Linked DNA regions of Neodiprion lecontei. The protein of the gene in region 1 purifies or fractionates together with the protein of each later gene. This does not show direct contact. Links are inferred from orthologs where the notes say so. Each region holds a gene or a part of one and is shown on either strand. Other genes may lie near its edges.

The links.
Region 2: the proteins of F-box/LRR-repeat protein 4 (region 1) and BCL2/adenovirus E1B 19 kDa protein-interacting protein 3 purify together in Homo sapiens (affinity purification with western blotting; 4 studies listed by BioGRID, with this or other methods). This does not show direct contact. The link is inferred for Neodiprion lecontei from reciprocal best matches to the Homo sapiens genes FBXL4 and BNIP3.

What each region holds. Positions count from the first base shown.
Region 1 is NC_060266.1:964,545-972,446, reverse strand, and holds the start of F-box/LRR-repeat protein 4, read left to right. Parts: upstream 1-1,918; 5' UTR 1,919-1,925; coding exon 1,926-1,959; intron 1,960-2,043; coding exon of another isoform or gene 2,044-2,219; intron 2,220-2,311; coding exon of another isoform or gene 2,312-2,467; exon of another isoform or gene 2,468-2,487; intron 2,488-2,606; coding exon of another isoform or gene 2,607-2,872; intron 2,873-3,028; coding exon of another isoform or gene 3,029-3,078; intron 3,079-3,421; coding exon of another isoform or gene 3,422-3,511; exon of another isoform or gene 3,512-3,815; intron 3,816-4,128; exon of another isoform or gene 4,129-4,258; intron 4,259-4,508; coding exon 4,509-4,738; intron 4,739-4,814; coding exon 4,815-4,908; intron 4,909-4,977; coding exon 4,978-5,434; intron 5,435-5,506; coding exon 5,507-5,744; intron 5,745-5,855; coding exon 5,856-6,216; intron 6,217-6,278; coding exon 6,279-6,606; intron 6,607-6,664; coding exon 6,665-7,001; 3' UTR 7,002-7,902. Other genes in the region: glyoxalase domain-containing protein 4, read right to left, coding at 1,790-1,918, 2,044-2,219, 2,312-2,467, 2,607-2,872, 3,029-3,078, 3,422-3,511. UniProt on the Homo sapiens protein: Substrate-recognition component of the mitochondria-localized SCF-FBXL4 ubiquitin E3 ligase complex that plays a role in the restriction of mitophagy by controlling the degradation of BNIP3 and NIX mitophagy receptors.
Region 2 is NC_060265.1:18,583,763-18,588,758, reverse strand, and holds the start of BCL2/adenovirus E1B 19 kDa protein-interacting protein 3, read right to left. Parts: upstream 3,070-4,996; 5' UTR 2,977-3,069; coding exon 2,934-2,976; intron 1-2,933. Other genes in the region: polyadenylate-binding protein-interacting protein 2, read left to right, coding at 3,172-3,224, 4,501-4,690, 4,919-4,996. UniProt on the Homo sapiens protein: Apoptosis-inducing protein that can overcome BCL2 suppression. May play a role in repartitioning calcium between the two major intracellular calcium stores in association with BCL2.

The DNA.
Region 1 (7,902 bases):
AAACTGTGAATGAGATGATTCCTTGCCTTTATCGCATCACCGTTTGCGCGTGTATGCGTGTTTCTACAGTATTTCTTTGAAGTGCAATAATCACGTTAAGTGGGGAAATAAACTAACTTACAATTTGTTGGAAATATCTTACTATCTATTCATTCAAATTCATCGAATTTCTCAACAAATTTTCTTCGGTATAAATGTATGCGCAAACTTGCTTAATTGCATGCGTAATATGGCTTTGAGGAAATAATCTTGAGCTTTTCTTATATGTTATACCGTTGTTTTCCAACTTGCTCCATCAGAACTGTGAACAATACACGTCTTTGCATGAGAATTTATCCCCCCCGAAATCTCTTGTCCCTCTATTATGGACCAGATGTTCTGCTATAGACACATAATATACATATCAGAATAGCAACTTATCTGTATGGGGTCCGTAAAAAGGTTCAGTATACATATAGGGCATTCCATTCCAACTTGACCACAATTCAACCCTGAGCCTCTTGATTACATTAATATTTTTGTATCATTTCCGCTTTACCAATTCACATTTTTTTTGCTGTTTCAACTACTATTTACTTATAATTGGGGGGTAATAAAACACGGGGGTATTGAAAAAATTGTCAAGCAATATTTTTCTAATCAAGTAGATCAACGTTGTTTTAAACATACAAATATTTTCTATTTTTTCAGACAACACGAGTCTTGGAATTTATTTACAATGTTTTGACATGTTTTATTATATTTCATGACATATGTTATTTACATGTTACTTTACTGCTATTACCTTCGACTTGTTTTCACTCAACGCTGAGATACCCTGATTAATTTCCAGGCATTGCCAGATATTTCGTCAATGCTTACCACTTGCGAAATATTGATAAAATATGAATCAAAAATTAGCGATGAAAATATCTCGTAATTTATCGGATGAATTATTTCTTACCCAAGGAAGCGGGGACTGTGATCAAAATAATCAAGGCGAGCTTGATTTCTATTTTATTAGCTGATCACTGTAGTTGCACTTTTTAACTGGACACGTTGTTCAATAGTTTACCGATTTTTGGTCAAACGGACCTCTAATACGATCCCTAGCTTCAGTTTACAATTCAACACGTTTGCACATCCTGCAAATTCGTATCTATGACTGTAATCATATTTCCTGTACAATTATTGAGAATGCGACGGTTAAAATAAGGAGAATAAGATATGATTCTTTTGAAACATATGTAAATATATTTTATTTCATGATAATTCGATCCGGAAATTTTATTACCAAATATCCCCTTTCGGTGCACATAACAAAGCTTAAAATTACTTTCGTAAACAAAGCATAATCATTGTATCTTTGACCATACTTGGACTTACAAATTAGGTACTGTTTAGTTAGTCTTTTGATTAAAAAAATAGCAGTCCCGACTTCTATTTTAGCACATGATATAGGTTGTGGAAGTAAAATAAAAAATGTACACAGGATATTTTATTTTATTTATACTGCAGTTTATTTTAATTAAGACCCGGATCTTTACTAATATTATTTTAAATACAAATGTTAGCTGTCCAGCAAACGCTGCGTTCAGAGCTAACTCGCAATACGCACTGCGCCGATCTACCTGCCGGTACGCTACTGCTCAGCCTACACACACACACATACGTACTATACCTACTCTTACCTGTGACATAAACAGAATATACATATACAACTAATATCGACGTTCAATTTATATTTCAACAGCACAATTAGACAGTTATAATTGATTAAACAATATTTTTTCATTTCAGTAATGCGTATCTACGCAGTCACGCCAGCAGTTTTGTCTTCCTTGGCGATAAATCTATCCAGGATAGCTTCGCTAGGATAATCAGGCACGGAGAGTTGCCTGAAGCCCTCGTCGTCGACGAAGCAAATCTCGTGGCCATCCTGAAAGATGAATGGTTCAAACGAGTCCATATTGATTCAAGGTAAACTCACTGCGCTAATGCAATAACATTCGCAAAATTCGAATCCTCGACAAACGATTCTATTTATCAAAACAAAGAAATTACCGGATCGGCAAGAATGACGACAGTAACGCTAGCTTTTCCTGGCGTATCAAGCTTTACAAGATCTGTGAGAATCTTTTGGTTTGCTTCCTTTACAGTCTGATTAAGGCGCAGCAGGTTCTCGTATGGAATTGAAAATGCGATCCGCCCATAACCCTTTGCATGTGTCACCTCAGTCCCTGGAAATCATCCACCACTTTATAGTCCCAAATCTCAGAACTTACGATCTGTGACTGTGTTAAATTAAACCCAGAATGGCCGGCCGTCTCACCAATATCCTCAAACTCAAGCTCGGTCTGATTGTGGCCGAATCCTAATAGAACTTTGCGATCATCTTGCTTGTAGACTCTCAAGCCGAGAATATTCTTCCAATATGCAATTGTACGTTCTAGATTGGAACTGGATAGGGTGACCTTCTCGACCGGATCTGAAAGCGATGACGAGGTGGTAAATATCACAAGTTTATAAGCAGAGAGACATGCTAGACCGATGCGTAAACTAAAAGTAAATCAGATAGTATAAGAATCTGTATCAGGGAAAAATACAGAGCTCTATATTCCCGTTACCTCTATCAGCAGGCTGCGGTTCGTCAATAACGTAGTACTTGTAACCACCCGGTGCTTCAAGCACGAATTTCCCATCCTCCTCTCGCACCGGCCATCCTGAAGACCTTGCTCTTTCAATCGCTTCCTTGGATCTAATCGTTATCCCTTTAAAGTCATTGCCTCTTTCGTAAGAATCAATACCGTAGTTGTACGTCAGTTCGACAACAAAGTGATCGTCCTCAGGCCCGTAGCCGACCATAGTTTTGCTCCAGCGATTGGCGTAGGGCCTATAAATTTGGTAAAAATAAAAATGACGGTGGACAAAGAAATTATCGTACTGAAAATGATAGCGAGGATCGTAATTTATATGAGAAAGAACAATTGATGGAAAAGGAAAGGGACTGTCTTCAGACTAGGTTTATATTTTTTAGTCAACAGCTAACCCGTTGCAAGCAGCTTCGCAACCGTCCGAGAATTCCTCGTGTCTCAGAACCTGGAATACAAAGAGAGAAAAAAAAAAATCAATGCCCATATTTCTGTGTATAGAAAAATGAAATAAAACAAATGTATGGCAGGGTCCTTTCGTCCCTAGTTACGGTACTGTGAAAATTTCAAACGTGATAAAGGGCTGCAGGGTGTTTCGAAATTAATAGAAAACGGATTTAAGATGTGAACGACGCTATAGCGATGAGAAAAAATCTATTTGTATTATATAAAATGTAACTGGTGTGCAATAAGATAATCATAATAATTGACGTATCAAAATTATGTTTTCAACGTTTATGCAATGGCCGTGATTGTAAAATACCTGTAACAATGAATTGATAAATTCTAACCTTCATTCCGAGTATTTCGCGGTAGAATCTTGCAGTCAGTTTACGTTCACCAATTTTGAACACGAAATGAAGGGCGCGAGCGTTTACCATTATTGTTGGTAAAATATTCAATTTAACGATTTCGAATTTATCTTCACAATATTTTCTTCGTGCTTTCGCTTTTCTTCAACAAGATTGACGCACTGGGGAGATACCGGCTCGTCCTTATGACGTGTGAGCGATTTTTCTGGTCTATTCGATCATTTCGACCGCTGACAAGTGGTTTTTCCTCGAGGGTATAATTGCCATTGTTGTTATCGACGAGATGGTTCTAAAGCGCTCAAAGAATTCTAACCACAGTCGAGGTCACCGTTACAGACGTGCTTCATTATGGATATATACATTTACTGAGACAGTGTGTTAATTGCGCTGATATGTAATATCAGTGGTTAATTGTTGTTGAAAACAATCAGATAGAAATACACGTTCCATTTCGTAGACGCGCGTATCTCGTTCTTAATCGCACGTTGTACTAGCTTTTATTAGACAATTAATGCTCGTCTGATATCTTTCGCTGAATCCTTATCGCATGAGAGATTTCGAAATGGGTTTCTAATCTGTAATAAATTCCGATCGTAATCTATTCATGTTGCATAAACTCTCAGCTGTTCGTAATTGCCGCCGTTTCGTTCAGCCCGCAATTCGTAATTGTTCCTGGATGTTTGCAGCTGTTCCCCGGCAAACTTCACGCTTATATTCACTCCGTAATGTCCGAAGGGAAGCTTCGTGAGAAGCTTGAATGGTCCTCGCAAAAAAAACTCCGGAAATTCGCTGTATGATTGATCCGCACACGAAAAAGTAATAATACGTATTTAAATATAATCAGCTTCTTTAACAGTCCAGAATCCCAGCGTTCCGTCGTTCGCGGTAATTCGCTGTCATCTTCACGACGATGATCGAAAACATGCCAAGCATTGGCGGTGCATTACGACGATACCCAACCTAATACAACCCAACTCAACCCGAAAGCCTGAAAGACGCTATTGTCAAGTAGTATGATATACCATACAAAAAATAGTAAAGTTTAATTTTTCACGCTCCACAAAAGCAGCAATGGTGTCCTGCGACGAGATTAAATCCGAGTGGATATCAGTGTCGAGTAACAAAGGAGCGGAAAATGATGACTCGATTATTTTTACCGAGCAATTCGTGAATAAGGTGCAACACTTCAGCTCACAGTACGGAAGTGATAAAAGCATATCCTACACGGCGTACAACATAGCTGGTAACCCGAGCAAGTTTCCCGACTATGGTGATTTTCCTCAGGCATTTGTCATGGTAAGACATCATTTGCCGGTATAATTCTCATCCGCTTAACCTCAGTATCTCTGTAATCTGTTATAATTATTTCTAGAGAACGTACGGCTGCTGGTGGGACAAGGCGCCATCCAGACTAGTTGATTACATGCCGCAGAACAATGACAATGTCGTCTGCCAGGACTACATAGGTATGGAGACCACAACAACAACAATGACGATCCATATTCTTTATTACTGATAATTGAACCCTGTTACAGATGTGGCGTACGATCGTGAGGTTTATCCAATCAGAGTGTCCATATATGAGACTTATAACCCGGGCAGCGTTGTTGGAATTTGGGCTGCCGATAGCAGCGGAAAGTGGAGCCGTCTTTGGAGAGGGCTGCCGCAGGTAGTTTCACACAAGCCAAGGATATTTTCTCCCCCTCTACAGCCATGCTGTTTCAAGACCAAGATGCTTAGACTGGAGTTCAACCACAGTAAGCAGGACTATTACACAGAGCTGGATGCCGTCCTCCTCATCGGCACTTCGGAATTTATTCAACCCCACTTTAGATTCAACAATAAAAACTTGAGCACCTTGCTTCGGCAGCTCAACGACAGTACCCTTGATTGCGATGACGTTTATAATCTGACGCCAGATTATTTACAGACACACAAAGATTTAAGGGAGCTGAAAAACACGTTTTACAAGCACTGTCAACTCTCGAACAGGTATGTGATCCAGTTTTGCACCGTGTTTCTCGTCATTTCCAAACTCGAACTGGCAAACTTTTGATTTTGCAGAAATGTTACGGGTAGGATACACAAGGGGACCATAATTGACAGGCTAGGAACTGACTACCACTGCATACCGCCAATCGAAGAAGCAGTTAGCAGTCTGCACAGGTTTCTCCAGGAAGACTTTCCAAAATTGATGCAGGACATCGATCTTTCAACTTCCTCAAGAAGTGCAGTGGCTGGAAACAAGACTGGGAGTTCGTTACAGTCGGGTGATATTTGCGGCAGTTTTTCTGTGTTGCCCGTAAGCGTTTTTTCCGTTTTAATACATTTCTTAATAGAACAGTAATGAAATAAATTAGCCACAAATTTTTAGTATAATTCAATTACAAGCATTTATTTCACAAACCTGCAGGACGAAGCGGTACTGAAGATTCTTAGAAATCTCGATCTCAGATCTCTCTGTCGCTGTTGTCAAGTTAATCGGCATTTCAACAATATAGCAAGAGATGCACTTCTCTATACCAGCCTAAACTTGAAACCATATTGGTACTGTATTGACACAAGCGCGCTTGAAACGCTGGCCTCGAGGTGCCAATATCTTCAGCGTCTAGATCTCTCCTGGTGCGGCAACTACAACACGATAACATCTAAAGACATTCAGGAATTTCTCACGTCCAGCGGAAATCAGTTGACGCACCTTAGATTCAATTCCTGCCAGTTTGTCAACAATTCCGTGATACTGAAGGTTTCCATGATCTGCCGAAACCTAAAAGGTATTTACGTTTTCATCTCTCAATCGTAAAAGATTAATTGACCGTTATCGTTCGACGCACAGAACTTTGCCTTCGCAACTGCGTGGAGATAACTAAGGACGGATTTTGGCCTCTGGCAAACCTGCAGCAGCTCGAACGTCTCGAACTTTACAGAACGTTGATTCAGACGCCGTCGCTGTGCGCGATTCTTAAGGGAAATCGAGGCATGCGCCACCTGAACCTTGCCGCTTGCGACCACGTTCATAACATGGACGATATCGCGATGGAGGTTGCCTACTCGTGTCCTCACCTCGAAAGCGTTGATTTCTGGAAGAGCCATAGCCTGACGCCCCACGGAGTTAGAGCCCTCGCTCGTTGCACGATGCTTAGAGAGGTCGACTTCGGATGGTGGTTAGTATGAAGGAGAATTTTTTAAAAAACGGGAACTTCGAAGTTTGACTAATTTCAGCCTAGGCATGGGAGCTCCAGGGGAGTCGCTAAGAGCATTGGCTGCGTCCTGTCAGAATCTGGAGAAGGTCTTTCTCGCTGCTCTTCGCGGCCTCACCGATCGTGACCTCGAGCCGTTTTTAGCCTGCTCTAAACTCAGACAGTTGGATTTCCTTGGCGCAAGATCTCTTACTCCCGAAATATGTCTACGATTTTTATTATATTGCACTCAGCTGGAAATGATGGATCTCAGCTTTTGCGAAGGTATAAGCGATATGAAGATACACGAATGGCGTCAGCTTTATCCTCATGTATCTATTAAGCGTAGTTTTCAAGCAAGTGGATCGGTTTTTACATAGTTCATCGATGTTATTGCTCTGTTCGTCCGTTTATCAGTTGCTTTTTTTTTTTGACCATGTCACCTTGCAATAGTCCGAAATTCCCGTCTTTACAACGTATAACCATTGGAGTTTTGTCGGATGGTCTGCTTGGTTTTTTCCCTTGTAGATCAGTTCCATTTTCGGTGACATTTTACATCTTTGCACCAGGAAATCATTTGAAAAACGAATTTTCACTAGCTTGCGAAATCGACTTGGATTAATAAATTTTGGTGGACGAGTGACGATGCGTCGGGGAATATTTTATTAGAAGGTGACTCGAAATTTTTCAGCAAGCAACAACAACCTCTTCCGGTTTATTGTTTTATTCGTATAAAGATTGTTTTATTATTATTTATTATCGTGACATTATTGATAGACGCGAGTATATTTTATAATCGTTAATTTTTATCAAGTCTACACTGTATCTCCTTGAAAAACTTTTCTCTGGGATGATAAGCAATATACATCATCACTATTAAGAATGATTAGGATATTCTACATATTTAGTTCAAATTTGAAGTGTCGAATTGCCGTGGTGTCATATTATCTTCATATTAGCTCACGTTCTTCTAAGCTTGAGATCTTCGTTCGAGTAGATATACCTATGTGAGTACATGCGTATGGAGTAGTGCGTACTTAAGAGCAGAGTTCTTTCCGTCCAAAAGACTGATCAAACATGTGCTTTTTTTCCACTCTTCGAAGCAATCGTTCCTGCATCATGTGACTGAAAAAAGATCCACAGACACGATATAAAATTGTACATATCAAACGCAGCTAATATAATAAATCTGGAAAACAATTGTACCTCTGGGGCCTTAGAAAAAAAAAATATGGTGTCTGTACACTGACAAAACATAAAAATACACTGTGGTATTAATTG
Region 2 (4,996 bases), on another chromosome or scaffold:
ACTCTCTCCATTTATCCCTCCACCCCCAATTACCTTCACGGAAAAGTCGCAAACTCTCTCATTAGGGCCAGCCGAGCCTTTCATGCAAGCACGGATACATCGTTTACATCGGTTATTAGACTCCCATCTCATTTGATTTAAACCTGGAAAAATACTTCTCTAGCAATATTTCATTAGCATATGCGTTTTTTAATTTTTTTTTTTGTCAATACATAATTACCCATTCAAACGTCTTAAATGGGAATAACTTTGTCTGGTAAAAAAAATGACAGAACCATTATTGCATTTGTTGAGAGAATTGTGCTTCAAACTCATAAAACTGGATGAGGATGAAGTCAGTATGGTTAAGGTAACGAAACATTGGGGGGTAGGGATTACTATTTTGAAATTTTATAGTGACCTTGAAGTAGTTAAATCTTCAAAATATGAATAAGTTTCGCCGTATTGTGATTTACTGCATTTCAGATCTTGCTGCAATTGTGAAGTAACGGTTTTTCCGATAATTAAATCATTGCAACAATGTTACTAACTTCATCCTTGTAAACTTCGGCCGGGGGGGGATTTTGAGAGAGTACACTGTAGCGATAAATGAACCGATCGTTAGATTCTAAATATAAAATTTCAAATTTTAACGATCGTAAAACACTCAATTCAACGTATGAGGAAATTGTGAATAATTCTGTCAAAATATCTCGTTGAATTAGTGGATATACGCGTATTGGAAGAAATAATTTTGCTTCTGTAATAACCAGACAGGGAGAATAGAGGAATACAAACCGATCGCGTATTAATTATCAACGTCACTTGTTTATTGCACTGCAAAAATCCGTATCCATCGGAAGTTGCTCTTATTTTTTCTGCAACAAATATACGGATACCTACATCTGTTACAAGTATATTGTATGTATTATAATTATACACACGGAAAATTGACCCGAGAGCCGTGCGATATGGAAAACTGAAGTGTCTGTATATATATTATGTATTGTGATATTGCTGAGCAGAAAAATCGACGTCGGGTTGCAAGCATAAAATAAATTGACAGATAATTCGTCCTTCCTTTTAGTATTTTTCAATCGATTGTCTCAAGTGTGCTGCAGCATTGATCGCGTTCTTATCGTAATTATCAACGATTCTACCCAGGCATACGTGAGCATATACAAATATGTACATATGTACGATAAGTATAGATTCTCAACGAATCTGATGATTCAGTGACGTCCAACAGCGTCGTGTCTTCCGATTCTCGATGCGTCAGCACCTTCTTTATTTTCATTCTTTCTTTCTTCATTATGCTCGTATAGTGTATAAATACATACACGATTTTCTCTTTTCTTTATCTTCGCGTGTTGCGCATTTTTTTATTGAATATTATTTCTCGTCATTTTGCCACGCTGAAATTACGCATCAAGCCGAGATGCGTCAAAAGATTATATCCGTACATAGGAATACGGCTTAGGAATTTTACCAGAAGCAATAGAGTGATTGTTCTTACCTCTCAAATCTAGGTATCATTATTTTATAATTATATTATGACTTTTTGATGTATCGATGAGCGAAATGAAACGCAACGTCCGTCTGGTATATTATCGTCCGTCTGGTATATTATCGTTCGTCGAGGATTCATTAGCGACAAAAATTTGTAATCATATAACGGCAACTACCCATCTACGCTGTTACTCAAGCACAACCGAATCAATGCCCGCAAGCGAAACATTTGAAACGATTAGTTTCTAGATTGTATGCCTTATCTATACAGCCGAAAAAATACCCAACATTAAACTCCACAAAGAAAGCGACCGCAAATTCTTAGCCGGATTTAATTACACAACACGCTATTCCTAGTTCACGCTTGGCTAAAACGTAGCGCGACTGATAAGCGCGTTGCCATTTTCCTACAACGCAGTAGAATTCGAATTTCATTTCTTCTTGTCCGAACAAGTCGAGTCATGAGCGGCGAACGACGCAGAAAACGAATGCGAGTTAGAACGTGGGTTTATTGATGTTCCGAAGCTCAGTCTCTCCAAAACAAGGCGGGTTGAATGTAACGTAAACGTATGTATGTATGTTGTGTGTGTACTTGTTGCAGCAGCGAGGAATGAAATCGTACACAGCGAAGCGTTTTATTCGACTTTAGCGGTTGTATAGAAATTATAAAACGCGAGACGTGGGATGAACGTTGAGACGTAGGCAAATACAAGCGATTCTAAGAGCAGTGATCTCGATGTATGGTTTTTTTTTTCATAACGCATAAGATGCTGGTCTGTAGGCAAAATAGAGAAGAGTTAAAGTTTCGGGATTCATTCGTCAAGGTTCCAGGTAACGAGCCGATATTCTTTGTTAAGTACATATTTTAATCGTGCGCATATATACTATACATCTAACTTGTAGGTATGAGATTAATTTACATAGCCATTTAATCATATTCCATTACTATTTGCGTCGCTTCGACGATCGTACCACAAATACTCGTCTACGTACGCTAACATTATTCAACAGACAATTTTGCCGGATTGAATTTCAGACAAGGTGTGCGACGCGAAGAAACTTTAACTGGATACTTTTTTTTGTCCCTTCGAATCCAGCCTATTTTAAGACGCAATTACATGCGTGGGAGAAGCACGCAAATTCTGATATCGATTTACCCGTACGTCCGATGTAAATAAAAAAAAAAACATAAATGATAGAAAGGAAAAGAAAAAAGAAACATCGCGGTGGTAGCAACTGAACGTAAACAGTAAATTGAATATTAATAAAGCGTAGGTATATTGAAGGAGAAAAAGGAATATCTCCGATTTGTTTACGTGCGGTTCGAGAGCAGGGGAAATGGCTGCGTGTGATCAACGTATGTATGCTACTGACAGCTGCTGTGTGGCGTTCATTAGTCGTTTGATTTCACAGGTGATCGTGAGGATTGGTTTTGCATTACTCACCACCGAGCAGATCGTCGGAGGTAAACTTCGCCGTTGACGACATCCTGGAGACACAACAGACTCCTCGAAGTTATTATCAATTATAAAACAGACAACTGAAGGCACCACCAAATTCTATCAAACGATATACCAACGGATCGGAGAGACCGCACGCTCGCGGCACGAATTCCTACGGTAAAATGCCAGCCAGCGTAAGCGGGAGCAAAGACGACCGGAGCTGCTGCTTTGTTTTGATAAAATGTCAACACCACAGACGTCAGACGGTCGGCCAATCAGCGGTCTCGTTCCAACGTAAATATACTACAGTGATTGGCGCAGAGTCTCGATTGGAGCGTTTCGCCCTTTCAACGCCGTCAGCCCCCGGCTCGATTTTAGAACGGCTCAAAATTCATCCGTTGGGATTAATTGTCAACGTCTGTTTATTCAACGTTGTTGAATAAGTCGCACGCGATACTTGTTGTGACTAACTTGTTGTCCCCAATTCGTGTAATGCTTCGTGCGGTTTTCGTTCGTTAATACATAGGTGGCAGCACCGTACGGATACGCTGCACCGCTAATTCACGCTTTATGACACGTATTTTACCTGAATAACTGCGTAATTCGTATTTTAGACGAGATATTTTGAGGAACGGATTGTAAGGTACGTGGCAGATTAATTATCAGACGCATAACGATTATACATGTGATGGAATTGCATATAACATGTCAATAATTCTCAGTTAAATCGCGAATAACAAAAATGTGTTCAACTCTGCGATTGCTGCGAGCGAAACAGTGAAAAATGGTTGCTTCTTAGTTGATCTGTCAAGTGATATTCGTTGGTTATTTCGTTTTAATATGAATCGGTAGACTAAACTGTGCTAAATTTTGGGTATTCATTGAGTTTCGGTACTAAATTGATGGTAAACTATTCTTCAGTATTTTTATCCAACCGAATATCAGTTTTGTGCATTGCCATAAGTTATATCCATACGTATACATGTGTAAATGCACAAGCGCGTCCGTGAATGCAAAGATATGTGCGTAAATTATTCACTCTCACAGCTGTAGCCTTATATTTTTCTTATTACGCGATGCAACTTCTCAGTGTTTTTTTTTGTTTTCAATGAAGGCGTCTGCAAGGCATCCAAGGTGAATCGGGAATACTCAAGGTTGAATTTGGTCAGCAACCTTTCGAAAATAATTATTACACGGTCACCGTCTCCAATCGGATCATTGTCGAACTTTTTGCTCGTATTTTTTCAGCGTTCAGATAGACGGAGAGAACCGCCTGGCCTCCTTCGCATATTCCCCTCCTCTGCTACGCGAACGGTTTCTAATATTGCCACACAATTGCGAATGGAATTACACATCAGTCCATTTAATTTCGTCGTACGGTCGGTCGTTTGTTCCCGTGAATTACTGGGCTTTGAATGATCTTGATAGATTTCGTTTTCAATAACTGATTAGTTACAATCGACTATTCTTTCAGCTTAAATTCAAATTCAGACGCGCAAACGCGTGAAACCTAAAAAATTAAAACTCTATAGTAGCATCTTATTGTCAGTGTTAAAATAATGTGTTTCAGTGTTGAATACAAAACTGGCATGAAAATGAAGATTCCAACCGGTGGTTCAGGGAACGGCTATTATGGCCATGATAGTGGGGTTATCTCATATCTTGATACTGTCGAGACCGAGGCCGATGTCCAGGCTGCAGGAGATGGAGACTTTTCCGAATATATGTGGATGGAGAACGAAGAAGAATTTGACAAACAGGTACTTGAATTTTAAAAATCGGATGGAATGATTCAAGGTTCTGTAGTTGGTTTGTAACTCTTAAAATCGTTTCTCGTTTGTCGATTCTGAAAGTTACAATTCGATTCATGAACGTTTTATATGTACAGTGTTTGAAATAAAAACTATAACCAAGGAAAACTAAGAAACACTAACTTTTTGGAATTGGTGACAAGTTTGGGGTATCATAGCAAATAAATCATTTTGCAGGTACTACAGCAGCTCGAAGAGGAGGAGTTGATGGAAGAATGCCTGGAAGCTATGTTGGAGGAGGAAAGGCAGCATCAG